Linked DNA regions of Canis lupus familiaris. The protein of the gene in region 2 interacts with the protein of the main gene of each other region in a pairwise test. Links are inferred from orthologs where the notes say so. Each region holds a gene or a part of one and is shown on either strand. Other genes may lie near its edges.

Evidence for each region.
Region 1: the proteins of melanoma-associated antigen 10-like (region 2) and GCA interact in binary tests that used the Homo sapiens proteins (3 or more experiments, as listed by UniProt). The link is inferred for Canis lupus familiaris from reciprocal best matches to the Homo sapiens genes MAGEA8 and GCA.
Region 3: the proteins of melanoma-associated antigen 10-like (region 2) and BEX5 interact in binary tests that used the Homo sapiens proteins (3 or more experiments, as listed by UniProt). The link is inferred for Canis lupus familiaris from reciprocal best matches to the Homo sapiens genes MAGEA8 and BEX5.

The regions. Positions count from the first base shown.
Region 1 is NC_049257.1:8,046,335-8,050,589, reverse strand, and holds the start of GCA (grancalcin), read right to left. Parts: upstream 2,801-4,255; 5' UTR 2,635-2,800; coding exon 2,608-2,634; intron 2,081-2,607; exon of another isoform or gene 1,298-2,080; intron 687-1,297; coding exon 522-686; intron 1-521. UniProt on the Homo sapiens protein: Calcium-binding protein that may play a role in the adhesion of neutrophils to fibronectin. May play a role in the formation of focal adhesions.
Region 2 is NC_049260.1:118,690,646-118,694,936, reverse strand, and holds the start of melanoma-associated antigen 10-like, read right to left. Parts: upstream 2,808-4,291; 5' UTR 2,417-2,807; intron 2,216-2,416; exon of another isoform or gene 2,161-2,215; intron 1,851-2,160; exon of another isoform or gene 1,476-1,850; intron 1,363-1,475; exon of another isoform or gene 1,008-1,362; intron 731-1,007; exon of another isoform or gene 579-730; intron 75-578; exon of another isoform or gene 1-74. UniProt on the Homo sapiens protein: Not known, though may play a role in embryonal development and tumor transformation or aspects of tumor progression.
Region 3 is NC_049260.1:76,328,647-76,332,778, forward strand, and holds the start of BEX5 (protein BEX5), read right to left. Parts: upstream 2,801-4,132; 5' UTR 2,608-2,800; intron 2,172-2,607; exon of another isoform or gene 2,056-2,171; intron 1,540-2,055; 5' UTR 1,474-1,539; intron 1,190-1,473; 5' UTR 1,162-1,189; coding exon 823-1,161; 3' UTR 1-822.

The DNA.
Region 1 (4,255 bases), on a different chromosome or scaffold from region 2:
AAAGTCTGCTTTTTGCTACTCTGTCTCAGCTTCCTCAAGGAGAGTTACATGTAGATCTCTTTTCCTCAATCCTCTTGGCTCAGTGGCCATGCACTACACTGTTTGCCCTCTAAGTGAAATGAACAATGCATCAGGTATCATAGGAACAGACTTCTAAAAATGAAATAATTATGACTACCTTCGTCTCTGATCTCAATTGAAAAAATAGTCTAGATAAGTTTAAAATACAAATTTCTTATACATATAAAATAACACACTAAGTAATAGAGTTGACATTTCTTTTAAATAGCAATCACTGGGACGCCTGGGTAGTTCAGCGATTGAGCGTCTGCCTTTAGCTCAGGGCATGGTTCCAAGGTCCTGGGATCAAGCCCCACATCAGGCTCCCCATGGGGAGCCGACCTCTCCCTCTGTCTGTGTCTGCCTTTCTGTGTCTTTAATGAATAAATAAATAAAATCTTTAAAAAAAATAGCAGTCACTTTCAGAAACTGATATTTGTGCAATATATTTAATATCTCACCTGTCCAGCAACAGCAGTGAAGTATGTCCACATGGGGTCTCCTGCTGAGGAATAACTGTCAGAATACACTGGGTATCCACCAGGGAGAAGGTTTGGCCCTGTTCCTGGCAACGGCTGTCCCATTTGCATCTGCATTCCTGGCATCTGACCACTAAAATTTCCAAACTATAAGAGTGAAAAAGGATAAAGTTATTAGTACACATATTACTTGTTAACTACTAAAGTTGGTTTAAAAGAAAATATTTAGGAGGAGTCTACTGAAAAGCAAGAATAGAAAGAATTATTAAAAGAAACCAAATTCACTATCCCAAATGCTATTAGCTACAAAATCCTACATGTCCTGCATTAGGACATAATTCAGTTCATTAATGTGTCATTCAACATCAAAAGAAGTAAAACAGAATAAAAGAACTCTCTAGGCTCCAACAACTTAATCTAACAGAGGAACACGAAGCACATTTTTTAACTGTTTACCATCATCATCACTGAAATAAACAAAAAACAAAAAAATGCAAAAAAAAATTTCACCTGCAGTCAAACTAAGAAGTAGTATACTACTCCAGGCACATACTTAGAATAATACATGGTAAACACAACGAAATTGTGAACTAGTCATGGGAAACCCCAGAGAGTGCAAACATCTTCTCCACCAGAAAAAAAAATTAATTTTAAAAAAGCAAGACACCAATAAACAGATCAATAAAGTGATTAATTCTAACAACAGTCTTCAAAATTAGTAAGAATACCAACAAAAATAATACACAGCTAATACTTACTGCGCGCGTTTTATGGCCCAGGTACAAGTACTTCCCATTATGTGCTGAGATTTCCCCAAAACTGTATGAGGTATGAAACTACTATGTCCTTTTTGTCACTGAGGACCTGAAACTTCAAGAGGTTTCCTAAATCGGTTAAGGTCAAACACCTACTAAAAAGGAGACCACGGTTCAACTGTAGATAGTCTGATGTTTGTTTCCTGCTGTGGTTTATGCTTCTCTCTACGTTTTTCACTTTGGGACTGGGTATACGTTTTTAATACCTTAGAAAGGCATTTTACTGAGCATTTTTATGAGTCTGGAGGAGAAAAAAGTATCAAGAGTGTTTGTTATTCCGTATTGAACAAAATTCTTGATCTGCATCCTTGAAGGATGAACAGAGATTGCCAGAAGGCAAAAAGAAAAAAAAAAGAATTCTAAACTGGGGGTCGATGGGGAGAGAGAGTCAAAAGGTCGGATACTACCAGGAGTTTGAAGAGCTGCGTGGCTGGATGTGCAAGGGCGAGGTTAGGCAGGAGGTGCTGCAGCTCCAGAAAATGGACTTCAAACTCCAGGAAACGCACAACTAGATTATGAAGCAACGAAGTACCGGAAAGTAGACAGTAAACGTTAAAACAATATAATGGACTATAAAAGCAAACAGAAATAGGTGAGATTCCTTAAAAGTTTCTTCTTTAAAAAGAAGGAAAAAAAGACCACCCCAAGGGACCCGAAAAGGCCAACTGCAGGAATTTTTAAAAAGAGCATAAAACCAAAAAAATAAATTAATTAAAAAAATAAAAAAATAAAAAATAAAAAATAAAAAATAAAAATAAAAATAAAAATAAAAAGAGCATAAAACCACACAAGTTCCAACTCTCCAAGGTGATTCAGGATCAACAGGTCTGTAATAAAGAGTGGCCCTAACCCCGCCGACCTACGATAAGGTCTACGACAGGTTGCCCTTGGTGCGCACGAGAGCAAAAATTAGGAGACTAAATGTCTACATGCGCATCCTAATTTATTCTGCAGCAAATTAGAGGACAGAAAACGAGAAGCGGCCAAAAATTCAGAAAGAGGACGTCCAGAGAAGCTGAGGAAGTGAGGGTCGACCACAAAGTATCACTGGAACTAGCAGAGGGCACCTTTGTTCCTCCAGTCCAGGAAGGAAACTGCCGAAGTCGCGGCCACCGCGGGCTCCGCAAGGCCTCGCCCAGCGGCTCAGCGGCCCCGGGCCCCGACCCCGCGCTGCGCGCCGTCCGAGGAGGCCCCGCGCCCGCCCCGCGAGGCGGCGCACACGGCGGGCCGCGCAGCCGGCAGCCGGCACTCACCGCGCCGCCGTACCCCGGGTAGGCCATGACGAGCCGAGCCGGCGACCCCCGCCGCCCTCTCGCGAGAAGGGCGGAGCTGCAGGTGCAGGGCAGGTGCAGGCGCAGGTGCAGGGCAGGTGCAGGCGCAGGTGCAGGCGCAGGTGCAGGCGCAGGTGAGGCTCAACACGCGCCGGCCCCGCGCGGGACCCCCCGGCGACCGCCCCTTCCCGGACTCCAGCCCCGCCCCGCTCGGTCCCGATTGGCTGGGCCCCGCCCCTCGGAGCCCAAGCGGCCAAATCGCGCTCCTTCCCGCCGTCTAGTCCCACCCATCTCATCTCTGATTGGCTGCGCGCGCCCAGCCCCCTTCTGCTCGGCTCCTATTGGCCGGCTCGGTGGGTGGGGCGAAGCCTGGGCTCCCGGAGCTCAGGCGCTCCCCGGGAAGGCCGCCCCGGCCGAGCTGCTCCTTTCTCCGCGGATGCCCGGGGTCGCCGGGGGTCCCCGAAACCCGAGGCCCGCCAGGCCGGGACGTCTTTTCATCTCCTCCTGCGCTCTTTGGAGCTAGGCTTGCAAATCAGCCTCTGTGAATTACAAAACTTTCCGTTACTCACAATTATTTTTTTTGCGTAGCGTCGGTGTCACATCATCAAAACTTTGAGACCTTTATCGGCCCCAAGGGGAGCCCTTCTGACCTAAACCCCACCGGATGCGGAATTTTACCAAAATACAGAAGGCTATTTGTAGTTTGTTTGGTAGATAAATGGCGAAGAGAGTTGCCAGATTTAGCAAATAAAAGTACAGGATGTCCAGTTAAATTTCATTTTCAAATAAACAATGACTTTTTTTTAATGTCCCGAATATCACACGAGACATACACTTAATAGAAAAAAAAATACTCATTGTTGATATGTGAAAATACAGGGTGGCCTGTATGTTTTCTGACACCTGGACCAATGACCCTCTGGATGGACCTCCTGATTCCATCCACCGAGGGGGCACAGCTCGGTTTTTATCACTTGGTGGAAAGTTTTAACAGTCACTTTAATTTATTAAGTAATAGTAATTGACAGTTCCGCTGTTCTCTGAATTTTGTGGCTCTGGCCTTAAAAGGAGAGAAACGCACACACAGACACATGAAACAACAGGGCAGCTGCAGCATCAGCTTCGGAACAACGCCAGGTGGTATCTCCCAGGAGTATGACGACTGCTAAAATGTTTCTTAAGGATAAAGATGTGGGGGAGAAAAGCATTAGCTGTCTATCAGCAGAGAAACTCAACCCTGCAAAGCTGAGTACTAATGGCACAGTTACACTACAGAGAAAGAACCTTGTGAAACTTGATTTTATCAGGAAGAGGCAGAGAGAAAGGAAGATTGCTAATGCACAAGCCACTCTTGAGAAAGTCTGTGTTAGTTCCTCTAACATGATAAGAAATAATTTAAGCAATGAGGTTAGGTTATTGGAATAAATAGAGGGAGAGGATAAAACCTACTTGATAAGAGGAAAAACATGACTGTTAGAGCATCAAGTGATAACACACCACAAAGCAAAACAAATTGTTCCAAGGTTTTATTCTCATTGATTAACTACATATTCAGAGAAATGCTCAGAAAGGATTGAGTGTTTTACATTTACAATGTGAGTTTAAATCTCTGGTCAGAACTTTTGCACAT
Region 2 (4,291 bases):
AAGGGCCTGGGCCCTCCCCTCTGCCCATCTGAGGCCCTGCTCCTGACACCAGGCCTCTGGATGCTCTGAGACCCAGATACAGAATTTGGGCCTCACCACGTGTTCCCATCCCCCACCCCTCACGTACCTTCCGGGACTGACTCTGGGCTGGGGTGCAGGGTCCCTGGGTCCTCCCTCTGCATCCTCACTGAACATCCCAGCAGGACCTGGCCCCTCCCCTCTGCCCACCTGAGGCCCTGCTCCTGACACCAGGCCTCTGCATGCTCTGAGACCCGGATGTGGCTGTCTGGACTCCCCAAATGCCCGTCTCCTCCCCGGCCCGCGAGGGGCCTTCCCAGACTGTCCTGTGTTTCTCCGTCCTCCCTCTGCAACCTCATGGGGAATCCCAGCAGGACCTGGGCACTCCCCCTGCCCACCTGAGGGAGGCCCTGTTCCGACGCCAAGGCCTCCTGACTCCCGGAGACCCAGATGCCGACGACCGGACTCGGCCCGTACTCCCACCCCCCAAGGGCCTTCCTGGACTCACACTAGGACCCCACCACCTAGAGCACTCCTCTTTTCTCCCTGAGGGTTCGAACCTTTGCCAGGTGACTGCAGGGCCTCCTCTCTGCCCACCTGACGGAGGCACGCGCCTTAGGCCTGTGTCTCAGAGACCCGGATGCGGAAGTGGGGCCTCACCACGTATTCCCACGCCCCCCGCCCCCACGACCTTCCCGGGACTGACTCTGGGCTGGGGTGCGGGGACCCTCGGCCTCTTCTGCATCCTCACCGGGAATCCCAGCAGCCGGGGCCCTCCCCTCCGCCCTCAGCATCTGCTCCCGCCACACCAGGCCCCAGGCTCTCGGGTTCCCGGATGTGCCAGGCCTGCCTCACCCGCCGCCACCATCCGGCCCTGTCCCGCTCCCCCGCGGCCTTCCCGGGCTGACCGAGGGCCCTGACCTCCGCCGGGTCCCCTCTGTCCCCCTCAGGGTCCATCCCTCGCCTCCCCTTAGCCCTTGGACCCTCACCTCCCCCTCAGGGTCTGCTCCCGCCACTCCAGGCCTCAGGCTCTCGGGTTCCCGGATGGGCCAGGCCTGCCTCACCCGCCGCCACCATCCGGCCCCGTCCCGCTCCTCCACGGCCTTCCCGGGACCGACTCTGGGCTGGGGTGCGGGGTCCCCCGGGCCTCTTTTCGCATCCTCACTGGGAATCCCAGCAGCACCCGGGGCCCTCCCCTCTGCCCACGTGTCCTAGGCCCTGCTCCTGACGCCAGGGGCCCCCAGTGCCTCAGGAGGCCCGGATGTGGAAGTCTGAGCACCCATACTCCCATGTGAGTGAGGGCAAGTCCCCATCCCAGGGGGCCCTTATGACCCTCCGACAGGGTTCTCTTTGTCCCTGTCAATGGTCCATCCCTCGCCTCCCCTTAGCCCCTGGACCCTCCCTCCGCCCCCCTCAGCGTCTGCTCCCGGCACACCAGGCCTCAGGCTCTCGCGTACCCGGATGTGCCAGGCCTGCCGCACCTGCCGCCACCATCCGGCCCCATCCCGCTCCTCCGTGGCCTTCGCGGGTTGACCGTGGGCCCTGACCTCCGCCGGGTCCCCTCTGTCCTCCCTCAGGATTCATATCTTGCCTTCCCTTAGCTCCTCAGCCATCGCGTCTGACCACCTAAGAGCTGCTCCTAACACCTAGTCTCTCAGAGACCCCGATGCGGAAGTGGGGCCTCACCACGTGTTCCCATCCCCCCTCCCACGACCTTCCCCGGACTAACTCTGGGCTGGGGTGTGGGGTCCCCCGGGCCTCATCCACATCCTCACTGGGATTCCCAGCAGCACCGGGGGCCCCCCTCTGCCCACGTGTTCTAGGCCCTGCTCCTGACGCCAGGGGCCCCCATTGTCTCGGGAGGCCCGGATGTGGAAGTCTGAGCACCAATACTCCCACGTGAGGGCAAGTCCCCATCCCAGGGGGCCTCACAGCCCTTGTTACCCTCCGCCGGGTCCCCTCTGTCCCCCTCAGGGTCCATCCCTCGCCTCCCCTTAGCCCCGGGACCCTCCCCTCCGCCCTCAGCGTCTGCTCCCGCCACACAAGGCCTCAGGCTCTCGGGTACCCGGATGTGCCAGGCCTGCCTCACCCGCCGCCACCATCTGGCCTCATCCCGCTCCTTCGTGGCCTTCCCGGGCTCACCGTGGGCCCTGACCTCCGCCGGGTCCCCTCTGTCCTGGGCTCCTGGGTCCCCGCCGTGTCACCGCGTCCCCACCGGCACTCCCTGTGTCCCTGCCCCTCTCAGGCCACTGCCCCAGGCCCCGGCATCGAGGCCTCAGCTCGACGTCGCGTTCCCGCCTTCCCCCGCGTGGTCTCTCAGGGTTCAGAAAGGGCCCCCCCACCCCCCGCCGCCCTCCGGGGCCCCTCCCCCGCCCTCGGAGCCCCCTCCCGGGGCTACCTGCTGCCCGGCTGCCGCCGGCCCGGGCCTGGCCTCCTTCCAGGGGACCCCAATGCGCCCCCCACACGAGGCCCTCCGCTCCCTCAGACCTCCGAGGCGGAAGTCGGCCCACGTCACATCCGGACCCCGTGCCAGGGGTCCCTAAGGGCTGGTTGCACGTCCGCGGGAGATGGGCTCTGCGTGGCGGGGGTAGGAGGACACCTGTGGGAGGCTCCCTGGGTCCTCTCGCGGGTCCTCCCTCCCCGGACTCGGGCGGGCTGCGGCCTCGGCTCTCTGCAGACCTCAGTCGGTGCCCCTTACACCGAGCCTCTCAGGCCCCGACGTGTCGTCCCTGAGCGCCCGAGGGGTGGTTGCTGCGGCTCGGGCCCCACCGGCTCTGCAGGTCCCGGGGTGGCCCAGGGCTGCCGGCAGGGGCACAGCAGGGTTCGGCGGCCCCCAGCGTCCTGGCACAGGTCGGCTCTCAGTCCTCACCCAGGAGGCCCTCATCAGGACACAGGCCTGCTGTGCAGCCGCAGCGCCCATAGCCCCGGGGCAGGGCAGGGGCAGGGGCCGGGAGGAAGCGCCCCTTCCCACGGGGTCCCTTGGCCAGCAGCCAGACTTTAGGGACATCGTGTTAAAGGTTTAGTTTCCTGGGGGCGGCCGAGCAGCTGCAAGGGTGTCTAGGGGTGTCCCGTATTGCGGGGCCCACTGCAGGGAGTTTTCCCCTGACATGCTGCGTCATCGGGAGAAACACACCGTCCCTCTCTACCTAGCGTGTGTCCTGTGCACGGGTATGAGTGCTGGCATGCTTACAGGCCTATTTATATCTGTGTGGCCTGTGTATATACTGCCTTTAGGAAAGACTAACTTCTCATACTACTTGTCAATACCCACTATTCTATTCCCGCTCTAGTCTTTATATCCTCTTCTAATAAGTTTTGAAAAGGACATCTTCCCATTGTAAGGTGAATTTTTTTTATTTTATTTTTTATAAATTTTTATTTATTTATTTATTTATGATAGTCACACAGAGAGAGAGAGGCAGAGACACAGGCAGAGGGAGGAGCAGGCTTCATGCACCGGGAGCCCGACGTGGGACTCGATCCCGGGTCTCCAGGATCGCGCCCTGGGCCAAAGGCAGGCGCCAAACCGCTGCGCCACCCAGGGATCCCTGTAAGGTGATTTTAGATAGCTAATGCCAGAATCCAGAAGCATCTGCCTCAAACAATGCCGTGTTCTCTGCTGTCCTGATACTTGCCCAGGGCTACTGGCATGTGTCCTGCCAGGTCATGCATCAGGTTTGTGCCAGGAAGTAGGGGCAGAAGGTGAAAGTCGTTCCGAATCCCCCTGCTTTCCTCTGCATCTCTGCAGCCTACATTCTCTCCCCACATCCCTGCTGCCCCTACATCCCCACCCCAGATACCAGAATCCACCCACACTCTTAAGGGCCCCCCCCCCCCGGGGGGCTTTCTTCTGTGTTGTTCTGATACTGCTGTTCATATTATGTGTGTTTTGAAAGACTTGCCATTTTGTAGAGCACACTTAGGTCCAGGGAAACAGACAGCACTATACACAGATTTCCCACTTAGCCGCTTCCACGCTCCTACATAGTTTCCCTCATACCAACACCCCACCACAGCCACACGCTGCTCATCACTGATGAAGGCCCTCGATTCATCCACATCACACAGAGCCCATAGAACCCGTTAATCTTCACACCTGGTATTTATTTTTATGGGTTTAAACTCATGTATGATGATGTGTATCCATCAGGATAGTATTAGACAGAGGATTTCACTTCTCTGCCTATTGCTTCCTCCCCACACAGCCCTGTGCACCAATGATAGTGTCGTTGTCTCCAGAAATTTCCCTTTATACAGTGTCATTAATTGCGAA
Region 3 (4,132 bases), about 42 Mb from region 2:
AAGTATAGAAAGGTGTCACCCAGGGGTGCCTAGGTGGCTCAGTCAGGTGTCTGACCAGCTAAGGCTCCAGGGGTGGAGCCCCATGCTGGGCTCCCTGTTCAGCAGGGAGTCTACTTACTTGTCCCTCTGCCCCTCCCCGTTTGTACTCTCTCTCAAACAAATACAATCTTAAAAAAAAAGGTGTCACCCACTTGGCATTTAGACTTGATGATAGACATACTTTTTGGGCCCTTCTCTAAATATGAAGAGCACCTAGAGAGTGTGCATGTTATCTTCATTCATAGATTAATAGGCTGACTATAAAGAAACATATCTGTAATAATGACCAGGTTCGTGCTTCCAAGTAAGAGATTATATTATAAGAGGTAATAGAAGATTCATGTGTCTTTAAATTGTGTCTGAAGCATTTAATGATTGTCTCCATTCCCTTTATAAGTCAATTGGCAAGTTCTTTGCCTCTTACTTTTTGCCTGACATGTATAATACATATGTATTCATTTTGGAAAAATGAGAAAAAATAAGTAATCAAGAAAAGTTAAAGAAGAAACATTCTGATACACACACATATATTATGCATGCTTTTAAATGAGATAGTGTATTTATAGACTGGTTTTTAAACTGCTTTATTACCTTCACACTATGTACTAAACATCTTTCCATGCAAGTTGGTGAAACTCCCCCGCTGACAGAAAAACTTTCAGACTAAGTCAAATGAATTCTCCAATCAGAAAAATTACAGAACATCACAGATTCACAGTAAAGGGTACATAAAGAAAATGCAACTTTGGGAGGCAGGGAGTTTATTATTACTAACCTCAGCATTCAAGGCATAAGGCAAAACTCATCATGATGGTCATGGTGAGGGGGATCCCCTATAAGAATGCGCAAACTGTACCTCAACTGAAGCTCCCTAATTTTCCTCCTTAGCTCTCTCATCTCCTCCATGAACCGTTCCATATCATCTGCATCTCCATCTATCATGTCAAGGTTATTGACAAGCCTATTGGGCATATCCTCTCTCACATCATGGGCAGGCGGGGCCCAATCGGCTCTAATATTTTCTCCAGGCTCCTGGCCTTCACCACCTTCCAAAGGGTGGGCTTCTTCATTCTGCATTGGAGCCTGCTCCTCTCCTTTGCTTTCCTGGGGGACATTTTCCATGTTGAGATTTTTTTCCTGCTTACTCTTCCTAGGAGATAAAAAGCAAGAAAAAGGATGTAATACTTTGTAACAACAGGAGTCAGAGCTCTGTCAGAAAAGGTTTTCTCTCATCTGAGAAACTTCGTGCACCCTCTAGGGGACGCCCCAGACCCAGCCCAGCTCCAAAGCTCACCATTTTCCCCATCAATTTTTCCTTAGGCCACTCCTTGCACCTCTTGCACTTTAACTCCGGCTGGAAGGGCAGTGAGTTTCCCAGATTCTGTCATGATCCCCGATAAACCCTAAACCAGAGGACCCCAAGCAGCCACTTACCTGCAGGCTCAGAAGTAGTCGTTTTCTCTTTGCTTTGAAATCTGCTGCACCAACGGACCCAGAGACCTGCAGACAAAAATGCGACGATGGCCAGGACTGTTCACTTGATTAAAGGACCAGTATTGGGGGGCACCTGCTCTGTTGCTGATTTAGGAATCCGTTAATCAAAGGTTGCCACCTTCTCTTTTTCCTCCATCCTGTATCACGGTTTCTTCTCCTGTCCTGCAATGCACTACTCCGCCCTCCAGAAATAGGCATTGTAATCAAAGATTATTATTTCCAACCAGTTTCACCTCTTCTTTAGGCCCCTTTACCTCCGCCTCAGCCCTCCCGTCACCTGATTAGCATTTCTTGAATGCAAATGGACAACTTGCTGGGCAGGGGAGTCAAAACAGCTTGCTGGATGGTGACCTGGTTTATTTATAAAAAATTTCAATGTAGTTGGGGCCCATTAGACTTTCTGGAACTCACCCTCCTTTCACTGCCCACCATTTTATGAATCAAAATGGACGAAGAGCGAAGAGGTAGCGTGGGTATTGCAAACCTGGACCCGCTGATGTCTAAGCGCTTTGTCTTGCTTACCCCAGGGTCCGCAGGCAGCGCCCAGGCTTACACCTTTCTTGCTCCCGACCAGATCCCTGAGTCAGAAAGCTTCCTCTCGATTACCTCCTCCGCAGAAGGGAAGTGTTTCCCGGACCTAATCCCTGTCCATATCCTCTGCAGCAACCATCATCTCCACCCCCTCCCCCCCGTTTGCCGCAGCCCACCATTTCCCGCTCCAAAATGGACGGAGGTGGAGAACCGATTCCGGAACCGAGGCCTAGACCCGTGGCGGAGTCCGTCATCCCCAGGGTCAATGGTTGCAACCCCGTCCCGTCGCCCTGCAACAATCAGGCTTTTTCCTCGCTGTCCCCTGCCCTGGCTCTTCCCTTCCAGACGCCGGATCGCCCAAGAGATCTGCACTCCTAGGACATCCTAACTGGTACCCATTTCCAACTCTTGGCCCCTCTCGATCTCCTCCCACCAAGCCGTCCATTTCTTGCACCATATAAATGGGTATTGGGTAAAAAGGTCGAGAGAATCCAATCCCTCTCCGGTCTTAGCCCTCTGCCACCCCAGTCAGCGCCCACTAACCTGCAACCGATCAGGGTCAGCTTCTACGACTTCCTCCTTCCCGGTGCTACAGGCTCGCCTGCCTTCAAGGCAATAGCGTGCCGGCGCACAGCCACAAAGGACAACCAGACTGCAACTAGGAGGAGACGCTAACCCACGCGTCAGCTCCAGGTCTCGTAAGGGCCACGTCACTCTGAGCTCAGATACCCAATTATGGTTCCCACCTGCATTGCGGCAAGAGGGTGGGGGCGGGAGTGTGGGCGGGGCCACCTTTTTCTTCATCCCTGCCTTCTCCCCACTACAACCCATCTCTATGTTTTTTTCCTGTTTAGAAGTCTTTAAAACCAAATGCATCATGATATTTTGTAGTTTATATTTGCCTTTCCCCTGATTTCTGCTGCAGCTTTGAAATAATTCTTTTTTAAACCTTTAATTGCCCACTTCTCTCCTGTCCAACTCCCCAGCAAATAAAACCCAAAATTACCCTTAACAGCAATGGAAGGAAGTCTGGAAAATACACAGAAAGTGACATAATTATTTTTTACTTTATTTCCGTTTATTTTATTTTTTTAAGGGAAAGGATGATTAATTTTTTTGTTTCCCATTAGCATGCATTCCATTTTTGGTTGTTATAATTAGACAATACAATTATTTTCAGTTGAAAAGTAGGATTCGAGTTGTAAAGTCTTGATAACCTCCTTCTCCTGCAGAATCACCCTAATAGTACAGACCCTTCAGACATCATCTCCCTTTTAAGGACTTTAAATTAAAAACCTAAGCTGATGGTTGCCTTTGTGAAGGGTCTCTGTGAGGTCTTCCCAGGAGGTGAGGCTCTGAGTCTTGCTGGTGGATTTTCCTATCTGGAGAGCCTGTGACAAACTTACGGTCTCTCCTAAATTATATTACTGCAAATTCACTTTACAAAACTCTACCATGGCCTCTAAAATAGAACAGCACTGAGGTCTTCCAACGATCCAGAATAATAATTTGGGAAAGTTATGCTGACAGATACAGAGTATTGTGAAGCTATAATATTAACACAATAGTATGGCAGAATAGGGATCCCTGGGTGGCGCAGTGGTTTAGCGCCTGCCTTTGGCCCAGGGCGCGATGCTGGAGACCCGGGATCGAATCCCACGTCGGGCTTCCGGTGCATGGAGCCTGCTTCTCCCTCTGCCTGTGTCTCTGCCTCACTCTCTCTCTGTGTGACTATCATAAATAAATAAAAATTTAAAAAAAAACAATATTATGGCAGAATAAATATAGAACAAATAAATAGTAGAGAAGGCCATTATCAATCCCAAATATGGAGAAATATTAGAAATCTGATTGAAATACTTGGAATTAGCAGGGAGAGGTTAGATTACTGAAGGAATGGTGCTGAGATCATTGGTCAGCTATTCAGAAAAAATATTGAAGTGTCTTTTTCCTGTTAAATACAGACATGAAATATCTAGATTAAAGGACGTGAAACCATTGAAAATAGTATATAACAAATGTTATTTTGTATATAATCCTAGGATGAAAACGTTCATTAAAAATATAG